7 linked regions of the Coturnix japonica genome follow. The protein of the gene in region 6 binds, or shares a complex with, the protein of the main gene of each other region. Links are inferred from orthologs where the notes say so. Each region holds a gene or a part of one and is shown on either strand. Other genes may lie near its edges. The genes, in order: ALYREF, SARNP, THOC3, THOC7, THOC2, CHTOP and THOC5.

Region 1 (2,118 bases), on a different chromosome or scaffold from region 6:
AGATGTGCATTTTGAAAGGAAAGCAGATGCTCTGAAAGCTATGAAGCAGTACAATGGAGTCCCCTTGGATGGTGAGTCTCTGTGGCTGTCGTGTGCTTCTCTGCACGGCTGATGGCATCTGTGTGCCTGCCACACTCACAGGGTAACTGGCTGCTTTTCCTGCAGGGCGCCCCATGAACATTCAGCTGGTTACATCACAGATAGATACACAGAGGAGACCAGCACAGAGGTGAGAAGCCGCGGGAGTCGCTGTGCCAGTCAGCACGGGGAGTGAACTGGCCTGTGTAGGAAGCATGGAATCCTCCTCGTGTCCTGCAACCTTCTGAGTGCCTGTTGGGGTTAACCAGAATGCACTATAACAGTTGCTTTTTAAAAATCACAGTGTAAACAGAGGTGGAATGACCAGAAACCGTGGTGGTACAGGAGGATTTGGTGGTGGAGGTACCAGGCGAGGTAGTCGTGGTGGGAGCAGAGGGAGAGGCAGAGGGGCTGGAAGAACTTCCAAACAGCAGCTCTCTGCAGAAGAACTAGATGCACAGCTGGATGCTTACAATGCCAGGGTAAGTGCTGCTCACATGATGGTCACGGGTACCTACAGCGTCCTTTTGATAAACACTGGCAGCTGGCTGGAAAGAGAAATTGTTTTTCAGGTCATTTGACTTAAATAGCCTCCCTCTAAAGCTGAGCATTGCCCTGTTCCTTCAGCTGCCTTAGCTCTCCACATCTACTGTTACTCATGAGTAATAAATAGCCCCTTTTCCAACTTCTCCTGGCTTGTTGAAGCCTGTGTCAACCAGAATTGGCAGTAATCAAGATGTGTGATGAACGAAAGCTATGAACCAAAGCCCAAAGGGATAATAGGCTGGAAAAATGAAAAGCAAAAAGAAAAAACACATAAAATAACCAGCTTGGTGCTAAGAAAGGAAAAAAAGTCAATGATGCTGATCACCCCTAATGCAGGTGGATGAGCAGAGCAGTGCACATGGTTTCTTTCATTCAGAATGAGCTCAGATATTGTGCCACAACAAGACTAAAGTCTTAACTGAGAATCAGTTAAGAAGTGATGCAGGGACTTGGCCCAAGCACTGAGGTGCAGTTTAGGTCTGCTCAGTGTGTGCTGTGGATTGGGCTGCATCTCCGCCATTGAGGCAGCAGCATCCTGGGGTTGGCAGGCAGGGCTGGGGGGTGTCAGGGTTGGGGATGGAGCTGGGGGGTTGTGGGGCCATGGTGGGTTGTGGGGTCATGGTGGGTTATGGGGCCGTGGTGGGTTATGGGGCCATGGTGGGTTATGGGGTCATGGTGGCTGCTGACGCTCCTCTCTGTTCTCTTCCAGATGGACACCAGCTAAAGCGTTGAGCGGCGCATGGAAGGACTGCAGACATCTCATTCCATGCTGTGTGGCGGGAGGGGTGTGCGACTGTGGCTACTAATATCAAGGATGGGATTTGTTTTACTTTTATGTTTTGGAATAGGTTTTAAACTCATGTAAAGGTTTTTTTTAATTCTGAAGCCAGACCCGTTTTGTACCGAGTTATTTTTGGGATAAATTTTACTGGTTGCCTGTTGGGCCGAGGTGGCTTTTTCACCTTTGCCGTAATAAAATAGAACCGTGTCTAGAGCTCCGCCTGCTCCCTGCCGCGCGCTCCTTTCCCGCGCCCGCGCTGCGCGGCGAACGCGCGCGTACTCCCTGAGCCAATCAGAACGCAGCGTCGAGGCAGGAAGTGAGGAGCGGGACACGCCCTCGTATAACGGGAAGTGACGGGCGTGTCCCGGAAGTGCGGGGGTGCGCGGGCGGCTGGGCGGATCCCGGCGGCGTTGGACCGCGGCGCGGACGGTGAGAGCGGCCGGGACGGCGGGACCGGGCGGGGCGGGGCCAAGGGAGCGGGGCGGGGGGCGCCGGGATCCGCCATGTGCGCTGCGGCCGGGCCGGGTCCCGCGGGCTCAGCGCCACGCCAGGGTCCGGGGCGCGGCCGAGGGGGCAGCGGGCGCCGTCCGGGTGCGCGGCGGGGAGCGGAGCGAAGAGCGGCGCCTTCGTGCCTTGAGGCCGCCCCGGCCGCCGCTGTCGGACCGGAGCCGGGTGGGGACCCGCTGGCTTCAAATAGATTCTCCATAAATGGT
Region 2 (3,973 bases), on a different chromosome or scaffold from region 6:
TTGGCAACAGAGAAGGCAAGAGTAGCATGAATGGGGCTGGAGGAAAGGCAGGGAGAGCTGTGCAGAGCCGTGCTGTGGGGTATAAACGTGCTCTGTGCGCTCTCACAGCTGCTTCCCAGGCCAAGAAGCTCCTGTCAGCAATGGACTCCCCACAGAACTCTGGCTCTGGATGCATTCCTTGAGCCCCAGCACTTCCCACACCCGAATACAAAGCTCAGCACCCAGCCCAGCGATGCTGACACGGCTGATAAACCAAACTGTGACCCAGCACAACCCGCGACTCACCAGGTTGTGAATGACGTTGGTGAGAGTCCACACCACGGGGACGCTGAAGAAGGGGATGCTGAGCAGGACGACGTGAAGCAGCCAACGCCAAGATGTAGGACAGCCAGATGCCACGGCTGTTCATCACCCGCGTGTTGGGGTTCACCTCGCTGTGAGCCACGCCGACGTTCATCTACAAAGAACCCAATGCTGATTTAGGGCCCTAATACACCTTAAGGCCCGATTTATGGACCCTTTATGGACCATTCCCAGAACATGAGGCGATTCCAGCCCTGATTCCTCCCATAATAACCTATGGAGTGGCACCACCATGCACTGGGCCTGGGCCCGGCCTATTGGGCCTGTTGGGCCTATGGGGCCTATGGAGCCTATTGGGCCTATGGGGCCTATTGGGCCTATTGGGCCTGTGGGGCCTATTGGGTCTATGGGGCCTATTGGGCCTATGGGGCCTATTGGGCCTATGGGGCCTATTGGGCCTGTTGGGCCTATGGGGCCTATTGGGCCTGTTGGGCCCGGCCTGGTCCTCGCTCCATCAATGAGGCCTCAGAACCAAAAACCGACCCTAAATCCCCCATTCTCCCGGCCTTAATCACACCCTCCCGGTCCTTCAGCCCCGCTCAATCCCGGTTCCGACCCCGGTTCCGGTCCCGGTTCCGATCCCGGCCCGTTTTACCCTCCAGCTCCGTTGATGCCGTTGTCAAAACCCGGCCCGCTCGTCTCCAGGAAGTCACCTCACTCCCGACCCGCTGCTCCCATTGGCTGCTCAGTGGAGTTTCTCCTCTACTATTGGTCATTTTGCCTGTCATTCAACATCGCCTCACCCCCCGCCCTCCGGTGGACCAATAGCAAACATGAGGAGCCGGTGGGAGCTAACCAATCGCAAGGAGCGATGTTGAAATCACCCGTTCAGAAAGCTCAGTTGTGATTGGACGCTGGGCAGCCGGCGGGGGCGGAGCCGGCAGCGAGCTGTGGGGGCGACAAGATGGCGGCGGAGACTGTGGAGCTCCACAAGTTGAAGGTAGAGGCCGCTCCGTTCATAACGGCAGCTTTGCGGTTTGGCCATCGCTTTGTACACACGGAGGGGTTTGTTATACTTGAGTTGTGGTGTGGGCTTGCTCAGGTCCCGGTGATGCTGCCGGTAACGGGGCTATGGGGGAGGTTGGGCCTTGGAGGCGCTCCGGTATCGCCTTCTATATAGGGCCGCCTTCTGTCTATAGGGCCGCGCTCTGTGAGGCCTCGGGGCCCGTTACGAGGCCTCAGGCCCGGCCTGAAATCAATAGATAACAGGGGGTGAATCTGGGCCTGGCTGCATTAAAACGGGAGTGAGGAGGAAGGAAGGAGGGAGACATTAAAGCTCCTTCTAAAGGCTGTTAAAATACGATGCTTTGATGCTGTGTTATATGTGATATGAGTGAATCCCTCCTACTAACCGGCTCCTCTCCATCCCCATCAGTTGGCTGAGCTGAAGCAGGAATGTCTCGCCCGCGGGCTGGAGGCGAAGGGCAACAAACAGGATCTGATCAACAGGCTGCAGGCCTACCTGGAGGAGCACGGTGGGTACCGGGTACCTGCGGGTCACAGCGCTCATAACCAACCCCCTGGGGGCAGATTCAATGCTGTCAATGGCGAAGAGATCCCTCAGGCAACGGCTGTTGTGTGGGGTGTTGAATGGAGCTGAGCATCCCCTGTTTCATCATCAGAAATTCATCGTTTCTTTATCTGAGAAGCCGAAGGCGTCGCTCAGTCATTTGTATCAGCGACTGACCCGCTGTTTTTCTTCTTTAGCTGAAGAAGAAGCCAACGAAGAGGATGTTCTGGGGGAAGAAATAGAGGTAAAGCTGAGGGATGGGATGTTGTGTTGGCGGTGTGCGGCCTCTGGGTGGCTGTGTTGGGCATTGATGGGCCAGAGCAGTGCAATGAGCAGCAGCAGTGCAGGAGATCTGTTGGGCTTGGGGCTGTGCTGGGCTTGGGGCTGTGCTGAGTTTGAGGCTCTGCTGTGCTTGGGGCTGTGCTGGGCTTGGGGCTGTGCTGAGCACTGTTGGATCTGAATCGGCCAGTTTTGGTGCTGGGGGCTCAGTGCTGCTGTGTTTGCATGGAGAATGAATGAGTGCACGGTGGTTTCTGTATGAGCTCGTGGTCACGATACGTGGCTGGTGTTTTAGGAGGGGGAATTCTGCCTCTTTTCAGCAGGAAACGTGCTGTTGTTGTGTGTTTGTTAACAGCAAATCTATTGGGGTTTGTTGTGCTTCTGGTAAGGAATCCCTAACAACAAACTGGTGCCCTGATAGTGGGCAGAGCTGCAGGAGGGGACTGAGCCTCAGAATTGGACCTTTATGTTCTGGGACGTACAGATATCCCAGCTTAAAACACGAGCAGAAAGCAGCTCTGCTGCTCAGCACACATCTCTGCAGGGACATATGTGGTGCATGGGAGCTCTCCCCAGTTGTCTATGAAGTTCTTGGTGGGAGAATTGAAGTGGACCTCATTGGATGAGTGTCTGACACTGAGCGTGAGCACTGTGTGCTTCTGATGCTCTTTACTTGCAGGCCTGAGAATGTCTCAGTTGGGATAATTTCCTAAGCCTGTGAATCCCAAACTGTTGGGTAAGGCTTTGGGGGGTAAAAAAGAGAAGAACAAGCAATTCCTGTCCATAAGGTTGCTCATACCCTGCATTATTGAGCAGAGTCAGACCCCATTGGGGAGGAGGAGATTTCAAGCACACAAGTAGGAGACAGCAGCATGGGGAGACGCAGCTGCTTGGGTTCCCTGGTGATGTGTGGTCTCACCAGCTGCTCTAGCATGAAATTCAGATACTTATGGGTATGTTCAGGCTGTACTACAGGCATGTTGCCTCTGAGGACCCAGAAGAGCCATTGCTGCCCTTATTGTGATGTTTTGCTCTTGCTGAGTTGCTCTCTGACCTCCTCCCAACTCGTTGCTTTGCAGGAAGAAGAGCAGAAACCAGCAGAGCCACCCGCCAAAGTAGAAGAGCCTCCTGTAAAAACGCCTGATGTGTAACTATCCCTTTCTACTTAATCCAAAGCAAAACTTGTGGGGGATGCTGTAACACAAGAGATGCATGGCAGGGGAGAGCTCTGCCTGCCCCTAATGCTTGCAGGCTCTTTTTAAGGCTCTGTGAGCCCATCCTGTGGCTGGAGGGGCTGCAGTAAGGGGAGCTGGAGTTCTGTGGCCTGATGGCTTTGCTGGGGGGGAGCTGTGTGGGAGCCCTCAGAGCGGGGAGAGCGCCTGGCCCCAGCCAAATTGCTTCCTGTGAAAGTGTCATTAAACCATTACTACCTTTCAGGGCATAAAATGAGAAACCTGTCCAGGAATCTGGAACAAAAGCAGCGCGTTTTTCTAAATGGGAGACCTTAATGAGGCTGGCTGTGACCTACTGTTTTATGGGAGTTTTTTAGAGGAGGATGATGCTATTTCATTTAGCCTGGGAACTTCCGAACTTTGTCTCTTCCTCCTTTGTTTTTTCCCCCCCCTCCCCTCGAGCCCAAGCTCTGTTTTCTGAGCATAAACTTTAGAGCACGCCCACTCCATTATATTTTTGTTCGCTCTTTTTACTGGTCCTGCTGTTGTCAGCTGCACATTGTTCAGGAAGTGTGTGTTTGAAATGGAGCCTGAGCCCAGGACGTTGGTGCTGACCTGGGGAGAGCTGCCTGGGGCTGTCCCATGAACT
Region 3 (4,288 bases), on a different chromosome or scaffold from region 6:
AGCGTGTAGGTGTTCTGGAGGATCTCCTCCTGGTGGGTGTGCAACAGGATGTGTCTGATCAGATGGGAGATGATTTCTTTAGGAGGGCAGTGCTGGCTGGAGATGAAGTCACTCAAGAAATGCAAGGTTCCCTCCAGGAAGTTCTCCTCCATGGTGGTGCGTACCATGCTCATCTTACTGCTGGGGATGAGCTCAGGTTTCCGCTGTGTGCAAGGTAAGGCAATGGGTGAAAGCCAGCCCCCCACGGTACAGAGGAACCTAGCAGTGATTTGAGGCCCACCATTAAGAGAATTGCAATAGCCAGAGATCCCAATGGCCTGGCAAAACTTCCCCTGGAAGTTTTTCCCCTGCTCTGAGTGGACCTGGCTGGGCAGTAGCTGCTCTGAACCCATTTACCTGTGGTGTTCCCCTGTCAGATGTTGCACCGTGAAAGAAGAGGTGCTGGACTCCGCTCCTTCTGAAATAGCGCAGTTTGTTCAGCCAGGCCATGCTGTCAGAATTAGTCCTGGCTGAGGTCCCATGTCGGATTGCTCCTTGTGAGACACCTGCTTCCAAAAAAGTCCTTTTGACCTTCCCTGGGCTCTTGGTGACGCTGGCTGGAGCAGGGCTCAGTCTTGGAGGGAGCTCCCTTCGTTGGAAATGAGGGGGACTCTCCTCTATGCTGCGTGTGCTGCCATTACTGTCCAGGATGGGGGGGGGTGGTGAGAACAGCACTTGATCTGGCTGTGTGTTGGTCAGGGAACTCAAGTCAGTGTTATACGTGGTGGTGCTGTAGCTCGGTTCTTGCTTGCAGGAGAAGCTGTGGTGGCTGAAGGCAGGAGAGAAGCTGCTCTTGTTGTCTGTTTTTCCTGCTGTGTCTGTACCAGGCCATGTGGGATAGCCGTGTAAGGGTGCTGCAGGGCTCAGCTCTGTGTTCGTCTCCGTATTTTTCTTTGTGCTGAAGCAAAGCTGGGGATGAGACGTGTGTGTGATGGGGGGAGCACACAGCTGGTCCTGGGCAGTACAATCTGCAGCCGGGGGAGGACTGCAGGTGTCCTCCTTTGTCAGGTCAATGATGGGGATGTAGTTCCATGGCAGTGGCTCTGAGTTTGAGTCCTCCTGGGTGAGATCAATGATCTCCTGTGGGGACAAAAGGGTCAGTCAGTCAGCAATGATAACAGCTGGGTGCCTCGCTCCTCCCCTGCTCAACTGGGGATCCCTTAGAGAAACCCGGAGCCCGGCCATGGGCCCTGCACCCCGCTAACAGCCCCCCCTTGTATCCAGCACTACCTTCACATCCATCGCATCGCAGCACGGCTCTGGAGCTACGACACCACGGAGCCTTTTGTCAAGACCTGCAAAAGAAAACCAATTTCAATCCATGTTTCCTGCCCGCGGCCCTTCCGTCTCCCCTCGTAGGGCGCCGTGCAGCCCCGATGCCCGCTCTGCCCGCCGCGTCCCCTCGTTACCGGGCACCAACTGCCGTGACGGAACAGCGGCCGACGGATGCCCGGCAACCCCCCGCCCTCCGTTCTGCTGGGGGTCGGGGCTTCATAGGGCCGGGCCGGCGGAAGCTGCGTCAGGGCGGCGGGGCGGGCGGCGCGTTGGGGCGGGATGGCGCTGTCTCCGTACGTGCAGGCCATGCAGGAGCTGTTCCGAGCCAACACGCGCAGCCGCGAGTTCCCGGCTCACGGAGCCAAGGTTCACTCCGTGGCGTGGAGCTGCTGCGGCCGCAGACTCGCGTCGGGATCGTTCGATAAGACAGCCAGCGTGTTCCTGCTGGAGAAGGACCGGCTGGTGAGCGGGGGGAGCGGGCCGGGAGCGGGTGGGACTGAGAGACGGAACGGGAGCGGGGTGCTGGGCAGGGCGGCCACCCTGCAATGCTTCCAACACATGGCTGTGTTGGAAAGACCCTTAAGAGCCCCCCCAGCCCTGCTATGGGTGGCTCACGCCCCCTCAATCGAGCTGCCCTGGGCCCTACGCGTGGCCTTTGGCACCTCCAGGGATGATGGGACTACGGCTCTCCTCCTTTTCCAGGTAAAAGAGAACAACTACCGAGGTCACGGTGACAGCGTGGATCAGCTCTGCTGGCATCCCAGCAACCCCGACCTCTTCGTCACCGCGTCCGGGGACAAAACCATCCGCATCTGGGACGTCCGCACCACTAAGTGCATTGCCACCGTCAACACCAAAGGTGGGGCCCCTGACATTGAGAGGTCTTTGCTGCTTTTGGTTTCCTATCACACTCTGTTAAAGGGTCACGGGAGCTTGTCTGGAATCTATGGGCAAGAGGCTGGTGGCTGGGGAACGTGTGTGTGCAGAGAGATGTGGCAGAAGTCTGAGTTTACATGGATTCATAAAGCAGCCATTCTTATTAATGGGTTGATTAGCCCAGCTACCGCCTCTGGCCTAAGAAATGTGAGTCTTCCAACTGTCAGGGTTGAGAATGGAGTTGTAAGGTGGCATATCTGCAGCACTGCTTGGTCCTTGTTCACACGCGTGTACTGTTGGATGTTCTGCATATCGGGGATCACTGGGTTAAGAGGGTCTTTTGATTTGATCTTGCTTTGTGGTTACTGTGTCTAAAGGGAAGGGATGGCAATGCAGTCATATTGGCTCAAAGCTACAGCTCTCAGTTTAATTTTCAGTGCAGAGTTTCAGTGTTAAATTGCAGACCTGGCAGTTCTTCCCATCTGGGAGTGATTCAGAGTTAGCAGAGCAGACTGTGGCCTCAAATCAGAAACAAAAGCCTCCTGCCACTGTGACTCTTGCAAACTGCTGGGTGGAAATGGGACCTGCTGCTTTTCTGTCCCTCTAGGGGAGAACATCAACATCTGTTGGAGCCCTGACGGGCAGACCATTGCGGTGGGGAACAAGGATGATGTTGTCACCTTCATCGACGCCAAGACGCATCGCTCCAAAGCAGAGGAACAGTTCAAGTTTGAGGTGAACGAGATCTCCTGGAACAACGATAACAACATGTTCTTCCTCACTAATGGGAATGGCTGCATCAACATCCTCAGGTGGGTGCCTGTGGCAGCTGCTGGGCAGGGTACCAGGGTTGGCTGCCCTCGTGCATCGCTGCTTGTGGAGGCAGTTTGCACCACTCTGCTGCTTTGGTGGAACCAGAGTCCCACATCCCAGTGATTCCCAGTCACTGTGATGGCAGCAAACTCACCCTGCAGTGTTTTGTTTCACACCTGGTCCCTGCATGTCTCACACCTGCCCTGCTTGCACAGCAGCCCTGTGCTTCTCTCACTGTTTCCTGCCCTCTCCCTTCATCTCTGCAGCTACCCAGAACTGAAACCCATTCAGTCCATCAATGCCCATCCTTCCAACTGCATCTGCATCAAGTTCGATCCCATGGGGAAGTACTTTGCCACAGGCAGTGCTGATGCTCTGGTCAGCCTCTGGGATGTGGATGAGCTGGTGTGTGTGAGGTGCTTCTCCAGGTAGGTAGTGCTGTGTCGGAGCTATTTGCTCCCCTCTCTGGTGACTCCATGGGGGTTCACTCACTGTCAGCTTTGCTCTAATGCTGCAGGCTTGACTGGCCTGTGCGAACACTGAGCTTTAGCCATGATGGGAAGATGCTGGCATCGGCGTCGGAGGATCACTTCATTGACATTGCAGAGGTGGAGACAGGTAATGGTTTGCTTTTGGGAAACAGAAACAAGGGAAGCTGATGGAGGTGTGCTGGTGTGGCTGGGAGGGCACGGGAAGAAACGGCTTGGCTGTGTGCAGTAGAGCACCGAGAGGGGGAGCCTCTGCCTCATCAGACCGCTGTCGATATGCGTGTCATGTCCATGCCTTGTCACCAGGCGATTAAAAGGCGCTGAAGCAGCGTTTGTTCCTCCTCTGCCCTGCGTGGGAGGGAAGAGGCAGGTGTTTAGCTGCGTTGTGTGCTGCGGGTCAGCCTGCAGTGGAGAGCAGGAGGCTCCAGGCTGATGTGGGCCCTTTTCTGTGCAGGAGAGAAGCTCTGGGAGGTGCAGTGTGAGTCCCCTACCTTCACTGTGGCCTGGCACCCGAAGAGGCCTCTGCTGGCCTTCGCCTGTGACGACAAAGATGGCAAATACGACAGCAGCCGAGAAGCAGGCACTGTTAAGCTCTTCGGGCTCCCCAATGACTCCTAATGGAACTGCAGCAGGGCAGGGAACCAGGGGCCACAACACTTCCCCACGCTCGGGGATGGAAGAGTGCTTAGTTAGCATAGGATGGGGTAAGGATGTGGGTCCTCTCCTTACCTGCTTGTCAGTGCCGTCCCCTTTGTCTCAGCTCCACGTGTGCTGCTCTCAGAAGCATTTGTAAAAAG
Region 4 (3,961 bases), on a different chromosome or scaffold from region 6:
TATTAAGTGTTGATAAGACCAGGATGCTCCAAGATGCTGAAGATAGGAGATCTAAGTAGGGTAGGAAAGCGCCACTTTTCACATCAAATTATATCACTCACAAATCACGCAGAGATACATAAAAATATCAAGAAAGCAGCATATTTACCCAGTTTTTCTACACTGGAAATACCTTCAATCCAGATGGAGCTTTAATGACCACTCTCTGTAGCCCTTCCCAATAGTGCCTCGCAAAGAACCTACCAGGTGCCACTTCACAAGTCAAAGTGCTGGCTTGCAACAATCTAGTAATATGTAAACCCCTGTTATACATCTCTATCCAGAACAAAAGAACCCGTCGTCACTCAGGGCTCTAAAACCAGGAAGATGGAGATGACACTACATGCTGACACGGTTCTTTCTTCCTTACACCCATTTTCTCTTAATACACAGCAACAAGCAGAATGAGTCTGCATGTACTTAGTGTCCAACCAAGAGGAGAAGGTAATGCCAAGATGTCAGGGCCTGGACATGCATCTCACATATCATTATTGTACCAATGTATCTTAAAGTAACATTATCAACTTTAGCATGGCACAGGTGTCAACATTTTGGTCCAAAAGGCGAAAACCCAACACTTGATCTCATCCAACAGCTTAATACCTCTTTTCTCCCGGCACACCCCAGCACCGGTTCACTTTTCCATATAGGAACAACCCGCTCTGGTTACCACCCACAGCACAGCACCCCAGGAAACACCTCAGGAACAACATTCCACATCCTTCCCTTGCCCCAATGCTCAGCCTCTTGTGTCAAGCCACACACCAGGGACTCATCCCAAGCGTGACCCGAGGCGCTCAGCCCATCTCCCCTCAGCCCACAGCGCCGGCCCCACGCCTCGATGCCAGGCGTCGAAGGGCGAGGGCCATGTGCCGAGGGCATGGCGGGGCGGCCCAGGAGGGGGGCGGCGGGGTCGTGGGCGCGGTGGTTGGGAGGTGGAGCCTGGCTGCGGGCGCGGGGACCTCCGCTTCCCTCCCCCGTCGGCCTCTCACCTGGCGGGGCCGCCCCTCGCCAGGGGGCCGGTTCCGCGCGGGGTGCGGGCCTCCCGGCCGGCCCTCCCCGCCGATGGGCCGCGCGTTCGCCGCCAGCCGGCTCAGGCCCCAGCCGCCGCCGCCGCCTCCCCCTCCATGGCCGCCGCTCTCTCCGGCTGCATTGTGGGAAGCTGACCTCACTCGCTGCTGCCGCCGCCCCGCCGGCTCCGCCGCTCGCCGCCATGGGGGCCGTGACCGACGGTGAGACCTCCTCCCTCCTGCCCTCCCTCTCGCTGTCCCCGCTCCGGGTTTCTCACCCCGGGGAAGCCACGCACCCCTGCGCGGCGGCCTCACCCCGCATGGAGCGCTTCCAGGCCGCTCCGCTGCGCTCAGTGCCGGGGCCTGGGGCTCCATCGGGCCTCTCGGGCCCAGCCTCCCTGCCGATCCCAGGCCCCGCGTATTGAACGCGTTTTATTTCACCCACATTCTGCTGGGTGAGCTCCTGCCGTGCCACACGCTTCCAGCACGGAGCGCTAAACACGAGTTGTTTTTTTTCCCACAGATGAAGTTATCCGCAAACGGCTTCTCATTGATGGAGACGGAGCTGGGGACGACAGGCGGATCAATCTGCTGGTGAAGAGTTTCATCAAGTGGTGTAACTCTGGATCTCAGGAGGAAGGGTATTTGTTGGCTGTTTTTAAGTCTTGAAACCTCATTGCTTTGCAGTTGAGCATAAAACTGAGCATCTGTTTAGACAAAGAAAGTAAACTGTGTTAAAATGCATCCATTTGGGCTGGATGTGGCTCTGGGCTCCGGTGGTTGGCAACCTTGCACACAGGAGGGGGTTGAAACTAGATGATCATTACAGTCCTATTCATAGCCATTCTATGATCTCTGCTATGTTCAGCCCTGTGTGGTTCTCTGGACAAAGCCCAGGAGCTGTGGCAAGAAACATGCACTGGAGATGGGTCAAAAATTACAGAGCAAACCATCCTGAAATCTAACAGCGAAGGCTCTGGAGGTTGGCACGTTGCTTCACGATTCAGCAGTCCCATTATTACAGCAGGATCACGACTTGAGTGTTCCATTTGGTGGCTCTGCATTTGTTCTGTTAGGTGGGGGCTGTGCTGCTTCTGCTGTACTGCCCTGAAAAGAAAGAAGAAAACAAACAGGCCAAAGAACTAAAGGTTAAGCAACATGTTGTTCTGCAGTAGGGTCTGTGCCGATGCTGGAGTGCAGGAGGGCACTCTGTGATGATGCTGTGCACAGAGAAGCACTGGAGTGTTAAAATATTAATCGTGGTGGGCACAGAGCTGGCTCTAGTTGGGAAGAGTATCATCCCTGGAGCAATCTGCCCATGCTGTAATGCTGCTTTATACCTTTATGATGATAAAATTAATCGGTGCAGCATTCATTTTTAACTGTACTTTTTGCAGTTGTGCACTGAATCTTTGAAGTCCTTTATTGCTTTAGTAATTGCTGTTTTAACTGTTCCGTACATTACCTGAGGCTTCATTTTCCTCGTGATATAAAAACAGGCAGGTATTTTCATGCTGCTGAGGAATAAATGTCTTGTTTGCTTTCAGTTACAGTCAGTACCAACGAATGCTGAGTACTTTATCGCAGTGTGAATTTTCAATGGGAAAAACTCTTCTGGTGTATGACATGAACCTGAGAGAGATGGAAAATTATGAAAAGATCTACAAGGATATAGGTAAAAAATGAGAAAAAAAATATTCTATGCTTATTTGAATTTCTCTTTCATAAAGAAACTCAAGTCAGTTCTGATAAACAAAATGTAAACATGAGATGGGTGACAGAAAAACTATTTTAATACCACTCATACTTGCCCTCGTGTTTTGTCAGTGTGTAAAATGTGTATAAGTAAAATATGTTTTTAGTCTGTCAAGGCATAGATGGTTTTGAAGCCCGTGGAGATAGCAGGCAGTATAAAATACAAAGTGCTGTTTGTGATGATTTAGCTGAATGGATTGATGGCGTTTGTTGTTTGATTTGTGTCTTTCTGTTAAAGAAAATAGTATAGCTGCAGCACACGAGAAGATTTCTGAATGCAAGAAACAAATCCTGCAAGCAAAAAGAATTAGAAAGAATCGCCAGGGTAAGCAGCATTATCTACACTGGGTGGTTTTATTAATGTGTTATCTTTTAAAATACATTGTACTGGAAAACAGATGACATATTTCTTGAAAACTCAGAAGAAAATGCTCTCCATCGATGCTACATAGAGCATTATCTGGTAGGTTCCACACAGACTGCTGAAAGTTTGGTTGTTGAGGTTAAGGCAGTAAATCTTAGTGATGTAACATGAGGAGAACTTAGAGAGTAGCTCAGAGGTGTTCTCAAGCCAAAGAAACCCTCCCAAGCATCCTTTGACAATTCAGTTGGCTTAAGAACTAAAGCACATTAGTAGCAGCAAGACAAAAGAGTTAAATAAGCTTACAACCAACACTGAAAGTTATATAAGTATATTCCTTCAGCTCTTTAGAAGGAAAAGTAGTACCTAATACAAGAACAGTTGTACCAGTTGCATACTCATTTTACATGGCCTTGCAAAATACCTCTAAACCAGGTATTACAGACATCTGTTCCTTATCCTTAAAAGACATACTGATATTTTTAGTTGAAATTTAAAACATTGCCCTGTAAGTCTTATCAAAATTTAGCAATTGGGAAGGTAAAATTTTGCTTCCTAAAAAGTGAAATGTAAAAATAGTTGAAAAGAAAGAAAGAAAGACCAGCTGTAACAGGTGAAAGGTTTTAAAACCTTTAAAAACACATGCACATATGATTTGTGGATAATGTTAGACTCTATTATTAGAGACTGAAAAAAGCCTTAAGCAGTAGGAAAGTAGAGTACTTAAATCTTCACAAGCACGGATCTGAAGTGTTTGCTTTTGAAGATGTTCTGCCCACGTTTTCCATCTGAATGT
Region 5 (3,500 bases), on a different chromosome or scaffold from region 6:
AGAGGATTACATTAAGCGAGTGCCTTCAATTGATGTTCTTTGTAATGAGTTTCACACGCCTCATGATGCTGCATTTTTCCTTTCAAGACCCATGTATGCGCACCAAATTTCAGTAAGTAGAACTCGTTTCATTTCTGTCTACTGTTACGAGATGCCCATTTACATGTTATAATTGTGTTGGGATCCTGCACAGATTGTCTACTGAATAAGAGTTCTAGGTGCTTTTTTGAACAGTTGAGGTAGAACCAGAAGCTGTGGTTTGGAAGAGATTCTGCTTTATCTTCATAGGGAAAATATAGGCCATGTGCCAGCTTTTGCACAAGTGATAGCAGTTGTAGCTAATGATTTCAACTCTTTTGATAATTTGGGTGATCAAGAGTTCTCCCACCCAGATTTCCCCAAATATGTAGTTTTTTGTGGCTATTTTAGATGTTTCTTGCTGTGGAGAGAAATGCTGCAGCTGTCAAAAGGTGAGGTATAAAAGGAAGAGGCAAGATAAATTTGTCCCTGCAACTAAAAAAAGTATTGAAAACAGTTTTTCAGCATAATATAATACCTTGCTGTAAGAAGTAGTGAGCTGAAAGATGATAGCATCAGTGAGGATGATATGCAGCATGGATGCATACTAAAAGTATACATAAAATTGTATATAAATTTTGTTTTGTAAAGATGATTTTCATAGAAAATTTTCTGAGAAGCTGAATTAAATTTGGTTCACATATGGAGGTAACAAACTTTTGTTTTCTTTTTTCATTTTTTTTTTTCCCCAGTCCAAGTATGATGAACTTAAAAAAGCTGAAAAGGGAAATAAACAGCAACACAAAGTTCACAAATACATTACAGCATGTGAACTGGTGATGGCTCCCGTTCATGAAGCTGTGATCTCTCTGCACCCTCCCAAGGTTTGGGATGACATCAGTCCTCAGTTTTATGCCACATTCTGGTCTCTGACTATGTATGACCTTGCTGTCCCACACAGCAGCTATGACAGAGAAGTCAATAAACTTAAAGTCCAGATGAAAGCCATAGATGACAATCAGGAAATGGTATGTTTGTGATTTCTCTTCTTTTGCTCCGGTTTCACTTTTCATTAAATCCTACATTAAGATATAAGTTTTCCTTTGTGCTAAGGAAGGGAGTTATCTTCACACACTGATATCACTGATAGCATTACTGGTTGTCTCCCAGCAGAGATGAAACCTTTCCTGCAACTGCAAGTTATCTATGCATAATTTGCATTTTAAATATTGCTCTCTTTTGTAGAGTAAAGTAGACTCCATGGTGGTAGGTAGGCATTTATTTTGGTAGAAATCTATGAAAAATGAACTGCTGACTTGTAGTGCATGACAGGATGACAAAGTTCTACTCTGAGTTAGTCATTTACTTGGAGTTTCATCTGTTTTATGTAATCATATTTTCGGGTTAAGCCAACCAAAGTTAAACCTGTGTTAACTGAATAAATTGGTCTGTTGATAGAGGTTTGTGTCAGCTGATTCATCCATTCCGATTTCTCATGGTTACATGCTTTAGACTTCCTTACAATTCCAGCTTCAAAACTACCAGTGGCTCCATTAAATAAAAATTAGTGGAAAATCTTGTCTTTCAGATAAGTCTTGTCACATCTGTATCTGTACTTTGGCTGTTCACTTAACATCATTAGTTATCCATTGTTAATGAATCAGCTCACAATTAGAGCTGAATGCTATTTAGAGAAATAGCTTTTCACATATTTCTCAGCATTACCAGACATTTAATTGCTCTGTACCTAGTGTAAGTAGTATTAGTGTAAGTATATTAAATGAATTGCATTGACATTTTACAGCCTCCAAATAAAAAGAAAAAAGAAAAAGAACGTTGCACTGCTCTTCAGGACAAGCTCCTTGAAGAGGAGAAGAAACAGCTAGAGCACGTTCAAAGAGTTTTACAGAGACTGAAATTAGAGAAGGATAACTGGCTTCTGGCAAGTAAGTGTGTGTATGTAGTTGTTGCTGTCCCCAGAACTAAAAGTTCAGTTCTGCCATGAAGTAACTTCTAATTTGAATGTAGTGTGTCTTTGTAAATGCTGAGTAGTTCCTTTTAGGGAGATGTTTTATTTGCTTCTTGCAATGGCAAGGCCTTTTAATATTGTACTGACTTAGAAAATAAGAGCAGGACGGATTTGATGTGAGGTGATAGTTACAAGAGGGTTTGCACATCAGTTGCTGTATTGCAGGTCATAGAAATGTGAACAGCCAGTGAGTGATTAGAGTTAACTTTGAGCACAGTGATGAGGAGCAGTATGCAGAATCTCAGTAATTGAAGGAGTTTATGGTAATTTTTCTGAGCTTTTTTCCATTGTAACAAAAGATTTTTTGCTGTAAGAAATAAAGGTCTGCTAGAATATTTCTACCATTTTGCCTGTTCCTCAAAGATTAAAAAGCTTATTTTGACTTTGAGTAGTGTCAAAGATATGTCAGGATTACAAACTGGAGAATATGATATGAAATACTGAATTTTTGGGGAGTAGTAGTTTAATTGCTTACCCATTAATGTACTAACTTTTTTCTTCTATTTCTTTGCTTTTGCAGAGTCTACCAAAAATGAGACTATCACAAAGTTTTTGCAGTTATGTATATTTCCTCGCTGCATTTTTTCGGCAATAGATGCGGTTTATTGTGCTCACTTTGTAGAACTGGTTCATCAGCAGAAAACACCCAACTTCTCCACACTTCTCTGTTATGATAGAGTAAGTATTGAAAGCTCTCTGTGTATGTATTGTTATAAGCACATAAAATTAGTATCCTCTTTCCTTTCCAAAAGCAATCTCAACGAAGTCATTACTTGCATTTAATTTTAAAATCTATTGTGGAAGTGAGAAGGTCCCTTTTATGCTTCCTGTTCCACAAATGAAGTTCTCTCTCTCCTAGACCTGAGGATTATTTTCAAGTGGTTTTTTTTTTTTCCTTCTGATTTATTCTAAGACAGCTAAACTTCTAAGGGAAAGTGGTCAGCAGTCATACAAACTACATTCACATTTCAAAGCCTTGCAGTGATCTGCATTTCTGTGATTTTTTTTTTCTAACTCTCCACCTTCAGTTGTGTACTGTGCTGCTGTACACAGCCTCCTTTAAGCTTGCCCTGACAAGCGTAGTTCTTGGGACACTGACTCTGGTGATGGGATTAATTTTTATTACTGCTGAGACATAGAAATGTGATACCACAAGTGTTACTGATGACTGCAGTAACCTGATTTTCTGGATCAAACAGCTCCAGCAGAACTGGCTCACTGTACTATTCTGTGACTTCAGAACCTTTCTGGTGCTTTCTGCTCAAAGAAGCCAGATTATTTAGTTAATAATTAACAATCATCTGTATGGTTGCAACAAATTTGTGTGGGGCTTCATTATGAAAACTATAGTGAAGAGTTTTTGTTTTTTGCATGAACATTTGACTAAAAGTTGTCAGGTTACCTTTGAGACTTTTGAAGTAGGGATCTGCTCTGATTTCATTGGTCCAAAAGA
Region 6 (3,146 bases):
TGATGCTGTGTGACTTGAGCTGGTTAATATCACTGAGTTAATTTCTTTGCTGGCTGTTGATATCTCCTCTCTATTTTTTCAGAGATATGTTGGTCATTCTGGGGTTCTGGATCTGCTGAGTGCTTCATCTCTCAATGTAGCTGCAGTAACACTTGCAGATTGCTCCCAGCCCTTAGAGCCCACTGCTCCCATCCCCACCTCCACCCCCTGGTGGTGCAGCTGGCTGCGAGGACCCAGATGAACCAAACTGATAACATGGAGGCTTGCAAATGCCAGGCTGCAGGCCTGGGTTTAAGGAATAGCATTACGTTTTCCTTGTGCAAGTGTCTTAATCCCTCGTCTCAGTGGGGAACGCTGCAGGTTGTGGAGTGTTTGTTGAATTAACCCCATATGAAGTGGGGATAGCTTTGAATTCTCTGCTCCCCCACAGCTATATCAAGGGGTTGGCATGGTCTGCTCGTTGTCAGGCTGTTCCAAGCTTTAATTGAGATGAGGAAGTTGGAGAGATGGACTTCAATGTGTTACTTCACATGCAGGGAGAGCCCTGGGAAGCTCTGAGCTGCTTCACATAGCTGGAATGCTTGAACCTCACTTAATCTCTGATAAGAAGGAAGGCAGCTGTGCATTTGATTGCCTTCCATTTCCAGCACTGCAGACAGCTGGGAGCCCTCTGCTTTCAGAACACAACCCCCAACCTTTTCTCACTTAAGTGCCAATAAGGAACTGCTTTGCTTTCCTTGCCGTCCCCAGATTGCTGCATGACTTTCTTGTTGTTTAACAATCTATTCCAGAAGAGCTTGAAGCAACGCCTCGGGAAAAGCAACATCCAAGCACGACTGGGCCGCCCTGCAGGCCCCATTGCACGCGGAGCTATGGGGGGAAGAGGACTCGCTATGGGGCAGAGAGGTTTGCCACGAGGAGCCATGCGTGGGGGCCGGGGAGGCAGAGCTCTGCTGAGAGGAGGGCTCCCATTGCGAGGTCAGTGCTGGGATATGGGGGGGTTTCTGGGTTCTGTTGTGTCATATTGTACTGCAGCCTTTTGTAATGGGGTGTGAGAAGTGATGGGTGCTGTTGCTGTGTTGCAGGTCAGGGCCTGCTGCGGGGAGGCCGAGGAATGGCCCCCAGGATGGGGCTGAGAAGAGGAGGGCTGCGGGGCCGCGGGGGGCCGGGCAGAGGTGCTATGGGGCGAGGAGCCATGGGGCGAGGAGGACTCGGCGCCAGAGGTCAGTGGGCAACAACCCCAGCAGCTTGAAACAAGCATCAGCTCTCACCCTATTGCACTGCTCACTTAGAGCTGCTTGACCCTAAATGCTTCGCCAGGCCTCGTGCCTAACCCAGATCCCTCGCCGTGGTGTTGCTTATATGGGGTTCTGGGATCTGCCCCAGCAGATGTGCAGTGCTTCGAATGGGAGCACAGGGCTTGTTTGTGCTGTTTCCATGCTTGAATAATGCATGGGCTGCGTAAAGCAGGGCTGGGGGGGTCAGCTCAGTGCTGTCTCCTGGGGTAGCAGCTAAATAGGAGGTGTTTCCCCATATAAGTCAGCAATTAATGCCTCCTAAATAGGAGGTATTTCCCCATATAAGTCAGCCCTTAATGCCTCCTAAAGGTGAGAGCTGTGGATGGGGGTATCCCAAAGCCTGACATCCTACACACAGCACAGGGCTTGGAACTAAATGATGTGGGCACAAAGAGAGCTGGGGGGGCACAGCAGATCCCAAACCCTATAGGGCTGAAACCAAAGCAAGGCAGGGAATGGGGGGCTGTGGGGAAGGAATTGGGGGGCTGTGGGGCTGGAATTGGGGGGCTGTGGGGGTGGAATTGGGGGGCTGTGGGGGTGGAATGGGGGCTGTGGGGCTGGATTTGGGGTTATGGGGTGGGCTGTGGGGGTGGAATGGGGGGCTGTGGGTTGGAATGGGGGTTATGGGGTGGGCTGTGGGAGTGGAATGGGGGGCAGCAGGGGAATGGGAGCTGTGGGTCTGGAATGGGGGCTGTGGGGGTGGAATGGGGGGCTGTGAAGTGGGTTGTGGGGTGGAATGGGGGTTATGAGGTGGACTGTGGGGTGGAATGGGGGCTATGGGGTGGGTTGTGGGGTGGGCTGTGGGGCTATGGGGTGGGCTGTGGGGCAGCAAGTCTCTACCCAGCCCCCCACCCACATCCCTTAACCCTCGTGCTGTCTCTCTAAGGCCGTGGCATGGCAGGTCGGGGAAGGGGCGGCTTCGGAGGCCGCGGCAGAGGACGAGGCCGAGGCAGAGGATCAACCCGACCTGCACTGACCAAGGAACAGCTGGACAACCAGTTGGATGCTTACATGTCCAAAACTAAAGGACACCTGGACGCCGAGCTGGACGCCTACATGGCACAGACAGACCCCGAAAGCAACGACTGAAGGGCTGATTGCACTGACTGCTGTGGAAGGTGGGGTGTTATCCCATCCCCTAAGGAACGAACCCCCCCATTGAGGCTGGGAGGACCCACGGGAGCAGGGGGGGCTGCCCCGTTGTACCAGAACTTGAGTACGTTTTCCTTGCCTGGTTTTTGTTTTGATACTCTTTTAATTTTTTAATGTTGGCGTGAAAACCCTTTTTTTGGGATTATTATCTATTATTTACTCTCCTACCTTAAAAGTGTTCTGAATGAGAATCTGACAGCTGTGATACAGTCCATCCTATGGGCCTGCAGTCCACCCTATGGGGCCGTGGTCTGTCTATAGGGCCGCAGTCCATCCTATGGGGCCGCAGTCCATCCTATGGGGCCTGCAGACCATCCTATGGGGCCGTGGTCCATCTATGGGGCCATGGTCTGTCTATGGGGCCTGCAGTCCATCCTATGGGGCCTGCAGTCCATCCTATGGGGCCGCGGTCCATCCTATGGGGCCTGCAGCACATCCTATGGGGCCGCAGTCCATCTATAGGGCCGCAGTCCATCTGTGGTGCCTGCAGTCCATCTATGGGGCTGTGTTTTGGGATGGGAATCGACCCCCCCCCATTCACTTGTATTGAGCCCATGGAGCTCAGAGCCCACAGCTCAGCTCTCAATGCTTTTCCTTACCGCCCCCTCCCCATCCCAATGCTGCTGGGGGGGGTTGTTATGGGGTTTTTCTGCCCCCCCCCAACCCGGTTCGGTTCTGTTCTGTGAGCTCCTCCAT
Region 7 (3,984 bases), on a different chromosome or scaffold from region 6:
CAGTGTTTTATTGTGCAGCTCAATTGAACTTTTCTTCACCTTCTACACAGCTTGCAATGAACAAGAAGTACTGAGGAGAATCCTAAAAGAAATCCCCAGGTTGAGCAGTCTTCTGCAAGCTTCTGCAGCACCTCTTATTAGTCTGCTATTCTGGGCTGTGTTGTTCCTATAGCATCTACTGGCAGCTTAGACCGATCCTTCTGCTGGATGCTACAAAGAATTATGGTATGTCTGTTCTTTTGCCTGGCCCTGAGTCAGCTGAGGGATGATGGGGATCAGATCCTGCATTGGGATGGTGCCACAAGCAGATGAACCAAGACACTCAAACTCATTCTTCACACCACAGCACAGCAGACAAAACAGACATTGCTTTGTTCTACATGGCTCATCTTGCAGAACAGGGTCCTGGATCGAAGTGCATGGCTGCCCATCCTTAAATATCACCGCCACGCTGGTGAAGGCCTTGTTCCCTGCTGCAACAGTCTCTGAGCAGACACACTGGTCACACCAGAAGGAGTGGGCACGTGTGGATTTATTGGATGGCTAAAATACCTCTGCTGTCATAACCCAAGGGGTGAATCTTCATAACAAGGACACAGTCACACAATAAATCTGACACTTCCTCCACAGGGATCATTTTGAAATGCTGTAAAAACCTTTATCTTTGGTGTCTGCTTCGCCAAGGGGCTGCACAGCCTGGGCTGTCTGTAGGGAGCACTGTTCTGCAGCTCAGAAAGGGGGATGTGGAATGGACCCACCTCTTACGCTGCTCCAGTTCCCAGTCCAGGCGGGCGAGGGTCTGCTGGTGGGGTTCTGTCAGGGTGATGTCAGGTCGGCTGATTTCGGTGGGAGCTTCACTGTAAAACTCCTCCAGGCTCACCAGTTCGATCTCCTCATGCTTCGATCTGCAGAGACAGAACACCTGGATCAGGGAAGGGTGGCAAACACACACAGTCACTCCTTTTCCTTCCCAGCCAAACTCACTTGAACTCCAAGCACTTGGTGATCTCTTTCTGTAGGTGCATCACCTCGTAAAGCAAATTCTGGAGCTGCAGGTGATAGGCATCAACCTTCTGCTTTGCCTAAAACACAGACACAGCCAGTGACCACAGCTGGATGGGACATATGCATCTGACTCACTGCCACGTGAGATGGGAGAAGATGGTCCTCTTTTGTAAGATATTGCAATTACTACCCCTGCCTTCCTGCAGAAAAGCCTCCTAGCAAACCTCTAGCACAGAAAGCACCACCTGGCTGACGTTTGGTTCTGCACATGCACACACAGGCAGCAGAAACTGCAGCATCTCTGCTCTTTAAAACCATGTCCTGTGCTCAGTGCCCACTCCGTACCTCATGGGTCTGATCTCGTCCCTTCTTCAGCCGAATGTGAGCCAGCCGGTTGAGCTTCTTCAGGGTCATGAAGTGCACACAGCTCTGAACGCGTCGCTCGTCTATCTCAGAGGCCTAAGAGGCAGGAAGGAAATGGCTGAAGCAGCACAGAATCACCCTGCACAGAGCTCCTGCTGCAGCCTTTTCTTTGAGCACTGAGACAAGCGGGGCCCTGTGCTCCTCTGCAGGGCAGTGCTGATGTTACTGGGGTTCCTGAGGAGCATCACGTTGCTGGACACAACTAGAGGGCTTTATAGTATCCACAGGAACTCAGTTCTGCCCCCGGGAGTCCCAGCCCATGGGCACACGTCCCAGCCATGCCTTGGAGGTCAGTAACTCTGAGCAATGACTGCTCAAAGACCACACTCCTCAGCTACATCATACTTCATTTTATTTAAGACAGACTGTTCCGTTTTCCTCATTTTCCCCAGAACGTGGCACGGCTGCTGCTCCTTTCAAATTACATGATAAATAAGAGATCGCATTAAACCAAGCACTCGGGGCTCTCCTTACATTGTCCTTGACGCCTCTGCTCTTCAGCTCCTGGATTTCTGCCATGAGTCTCTGTAGCTCCTGGCACGTCTCTTTGTAGAGCTCATAGTCCTTGATGGGGTCCCGCAGATCCACCTCACACTCCTCACTGTAGTACTGAGCATCCTGCAAAGGGCAAAAAGTACCCGCACTGCTCGCTCCCATATGTTCACAAACAATAGGAAACACACGGCTGGGGTGTAATGCTGCATTCTTTGCAGCATTAGCCTGAGATTTCATACATTGAATGGCAGCTCAGTAACCAAACCAGGACACAAACACCTGGAAAGCAGAGGCTGCCTGTTCATGTAGTTATTGTGAATGTGAAGGGTTGCCTGAGCTGACGCAGTGTGGAAGCCCCGTGATCTGAAGGTCTGAGCCCTCACCGTGCTCCGCGGTAATGCAGGCATCCTGAAGGCCCATGCAGCCTCCTGCTGAGCACCGCGTGTCCTCACCGAGCCGGCACCGCAGCGGGGCGGTCCCAGCGGGTCGGCTGGGACCCAGCACTGTTCGGCACATCCTCATTCCCGGCCACCCTTTACCTGCTCTCCATCCTTGCCCCGCTTGCCCTCCTGCGGGCCCCCGTCCGTTCGGATCACCTTAGGCTTCCTCTTCTTGCTGGACTCCGAGGACATGGCGCTGCGGGGACCAGGCCGCCCCTCTTCAAGCGGGCCCAGGCGAGGCCTCCAGCACTTCTACCTCACCGGGGCACCACGTTCCGGCCCTTCAGCTCCAGGTACCCGCTCCCGACCACCGGGACCCCCCCGGGAGCTCCGTCCGTGTTCACTCAGGACCCCCCGAACGAACCGCACGAGCTGTGGTGCAGCCCCGCGCCCACCCCGCCGCCCGCCTCAGCGCACCCCGGAAGTGACGTCGCGGAGCAGACGAGTGCGGCCCATCGATGCGGTGACAGCGCCCCCTGCTCTCGGAGGACTGGAGCTGCAGTGGGCGTGGCCTGTAAAGGGGGCGTGGCCTGTAAAGGGGGCGTGGCCTGCACGGTGTCCCCTATAGCACCAGGGATATTGTGGAGGGTCTCAGCGTTAAGGCCCACTCATGTATTAGGGTCCCTATGTCCCGAATGCTCCCTATTCCCCAGACACAGACGCTGGCAATTAAATATTTAATTGGCGACACCCCCCCCCCACAGCCCGGCGGGGACAGGCACCCGACGAGCAGCTCGTTAGCGGTAATTATGAGCAGCCCCCAGCCCAGCTCTCAGGAGGATTCTGAGGGCTTGTCCTTTGCATGGAGGGCAATGGCAACATGGGGCACACCTGCAGGTCCCCACAAATAGGGGGGAGAAGAGCCCAGGGGGGTCAGAGTCTCAACCTTCATCCCCCTCAGTCCCCCCTCAATGGGAGGAGATGCCCCCAGCACTTCCCAGCAGAGCTGGGGCAGGCAGCACGTGTCCCATCTCACTGCAGCGGGGAGATCTTCAGGGGGATCATGATCCGGGACTCCATCGTCCGAATCAGCGGCACTGCAAAACACAGCGGGGTCAGCTCACAGCTCACAGCACAGCAGGGGCAGCCCCAGCCCCGTGTGCTCACCCGTGTAATAGACGTTCTCATCCCAGCCCCGCTTCCTCCACGCTGCGTTCCTTGTCTCCTCACGGGACTGCAGGTCCTTGTAGGCTGCAGGGGGGGAAACCTCGTTCTTAACCCCCCTGCAACCCCCAGGGAATGGTGTGTGGGGTTTGGGGTGCACAAGGTGATGGTAGTGCCAGGGTGGGGTAGGTGAGATGAGCCCGCTTACCCCAGAGGTGGTGCACGACGTACAGCTCCCCGATCTGAGAGAAGAAGCCACCCACTGCCTCCTGGTTCTCCTGGCGGTACTTTATGGCCCGAGCCCTGGCAGAACAGAGAGAAACACTGAGCTGCTGCTCAGCTCTAATGTCCCCATGCTAAGGATGGCCAAGGCTTCATCTGTGCCACCACCACAGGAACAAGGATGCAGGAGTGGGTCCAAGGGCCAGCATCACTTGGCCATATGCAGAACAGCAGCTGGATAAAGCAGCCACTCACCAGTTATTGCCCCACTCGATCATGGTCCCTGGCTGCAAAC

The links.
Region 1: CHTOP (region 6) and ALYREF share a complex: the UniProt entries of both Homo sapiens proteins name them as parts of the transcription/export (TREX) complex. The link is inferred for Coturnix japonica from reciprocal best matches to the Homo sapiens genes CHTOP and ALYREF.
Region 2: CHTOP (region 6) and SARNP share a complex: the UniProt entries of both Homo sapiens proteins name them as parts of the transcription/export (TREX) complex. The link is inferred for Coturnix japonica from reciprocal best matches to the Homo sapiens genes CHTOP and SARNP.
Region 3: CHTOP (region 6) and THOC3 share a complex: the UniProt entries of both Homo sapiens proteins name them as parts of the transcription/export (TREX) complex. The link is inferred for Coturnix japonica from reciprocal best matches to the Homo sapiens genes CHTOP and THOC3.
Region 4: CHTOP (region 6) and THOC7 share a complex: the UniProt entries of both Homo sapiens proteins name them as parts of the transcription/export (TREX) complex. The link is inferred for Coturnix japonica from reciprocal best matches to the Homo sapiens genes CHTOP and THOC7.
Region 5: CHTOP (region 6) and THOC2 share a complex: the UniProt entries of both Homo sapiens proteins name them as parts of the transcription/export (TREX) complex. The link is inferred for Coturnix japonica from reciprocal best matches to the Homo sapiens genes CHTOP and THOC2.
Region 7: CHTOP (region 6) and THOC5 share a complex: the UniProt entries of both Homo sapiens proteins name them as parts of the transcription/export (TREX) complex. The link is inferred for Coturnix japonica from reciprocal best matches to the Homo sapiens genes CHTOP and THOC5.

Annotation. Positions count from the first base shown.
Region 1 is NC_029533.1:4,449,609-4,451,726, forward strand, and holds the end of ALYREF (THO complex subunit 4), read left to right. Parts: coding exon 1-71; intron 72-165; coding exon 166-229; intron 230-382; coding exon 383-560; intron 561-1,333; coding exon 1,334-1,348; 3' UTR 1,349-1,618; downstream 1,619-2,118. UniProt on the Homo sapiens protein: Functions as an mRNA export adapter; component of the transcription/export (TREX) complex which is thought to couple mRNA transcription, processing and nuclear export, and specifically associates with spliced mRNA and not with unspliced pre-mRNA.
Region 2 is NC_029544.1:1,002,719-1,006,691, forward strand, and holds the start of SARNP (SAP domain-containing ribonucleoprotein), read left to right. Parts: upstream 1-1,173; 5' UTR 1,174-1,267; coding exon 1,268-1,303; intron 1,304-1,738; coding exon 1,739-1,838; intron 1,839-2,070; coding exon 2,071-2,117; intron 2,118-3,231; coding exon 3,232-3,299; intron 3,300-3,973. UniProt on the Homo sapiens protein: Binds both single-stranded and double-stranded DNA with higher affinity for the single-stranded form. Specifically binds to scaffold/matrix attachment region DNA. Also binds single-stranded RNA. Enhances RNA unwinding activity of DDX39A.
Region 3 is NC_029528.1:12,224,398-12,228,685, forward strand, and holds the start of THOC3 (THO complex subunit 3), read left to right. Parts: upstream 1-1,488; 5' UTR 1,489-1,593; coding exon 1,594-1,776; intron 1,777-2,016; coding exon 2,017-2,173; intron 2,174-2,797; coding exon 2,798-3,002; intron 3,003-3,269; coding exon 3,270-3,431; intron 3,432-3,520; coding exon 3,521-3,621; intron 3,622-3,945; coding exon 3,946-4,109; 3' UTR 4,110-4,288. Other genes in the region: SIMC1 (SUMO-interacting motif-containing protein 1), read right to left, coding at 1-203, 397-1,119, 1,270-1,281. UniProt on the Homo sapiens protein: Component of the THO subcomplex of the TREX complex which is thought to couple mRNA transcription, processing and nuclear export, and which specifically associates with spliced mRNA and not with unspliced pre-mRNA.
Region 4 is NC_029527.1:10,990,640-10,994,600, reverse strand, and holds the start of THOC7 (THO complex subunit 7 homolog), read left to right. Parts: upstream 1-1,161; 5' UTR 1,162-1,252; coding exon 1,253-1,271; intron 1,272-1,572; coding exon 1,573-1,690; intron 1,691-2,596; coding exon 2,597-2,724; intron 2,725-3,042; coding exon 3,043-3,129; intron 3,130-3,961. UniProt on the Homo sapiens protein: Component of the THO subcomplex of the TREX complex which is thought to couple mRNA transcription, processing and nuclear export, and which specifically associates with spliced mRNA and not with unspliced pre-mRNA.
Region 5 is NC_029519.1:14,682,029-14,685,528, forward strand, and holds part of THOC2 (THO complex subunit 2), read left to right. Parts: coding exon 1-112; intron 113-770; coding exon 771-1,046; intron 1,047-1,822; coding exon 1,823-1,964; intron 1,965-2,567; coding exon 2,568-2,725; intron 2,726-3,500. UniProt on the Homo sapiens protein: Component of the THO subcomplex of the TREX complex which is thought to couple mRNA transcription, processing and nuclear export, and which specifically associates with spliced mRNA and not with unspliced pre-mRNA.
Region 6 is NC_029540.1:1,241,118-1,244,263, forward strand, and holds the end of CHTOP (chromatin target of PRMT1 protein), read left to right. Parts: exon of another isoform or gene 1-785; intron 786-791; coding exon 792-978; intron 979-1,085; coding exon 1,086-1,223; intron 1,224-2,184; coding exon 2,185-2,387; 3' UTR 2,388-2,646; downstream 2,647-3,146. UniProt on the Homo sapiens protein: Plays an important role in the ligand-dependent activation of estrogen receptor target genes. May play a role in the silencing of fetal globin genes.
Region 7 is NC_029530.1:9,918,897-9,922,880, reverse strand, and holds the start of THOC5 (THO complex subunit 5 homolog), read right to left. Parts: upstream 2,801-3,984; 5' UTR 2,556-2,800; coding exon 2,463-2,555; intron 2,047-2,462; coding exon 1,903-2,046; intron 1,465-1,902; coding exon 1,351-1,464; intron 1,083-1,350; coding exon 985-1,082; intron 906-984; coding exon 759-905; intron 1-758. Other genes in the region: NIPSNAP1 (protein NipSnap homolog 1), read right to left, coding at 3,336-3,400, 3,471-3,554, 3,676-3,770, 3,945-3,976. UniProt on the Homo sapiens protein: Component of the THO subcomplex of the TREX complex which is thought to couple mRNA transcription, processing and nuclear export, and which specifically associates with spliced mRNA and not with unspliced pre-mRNA.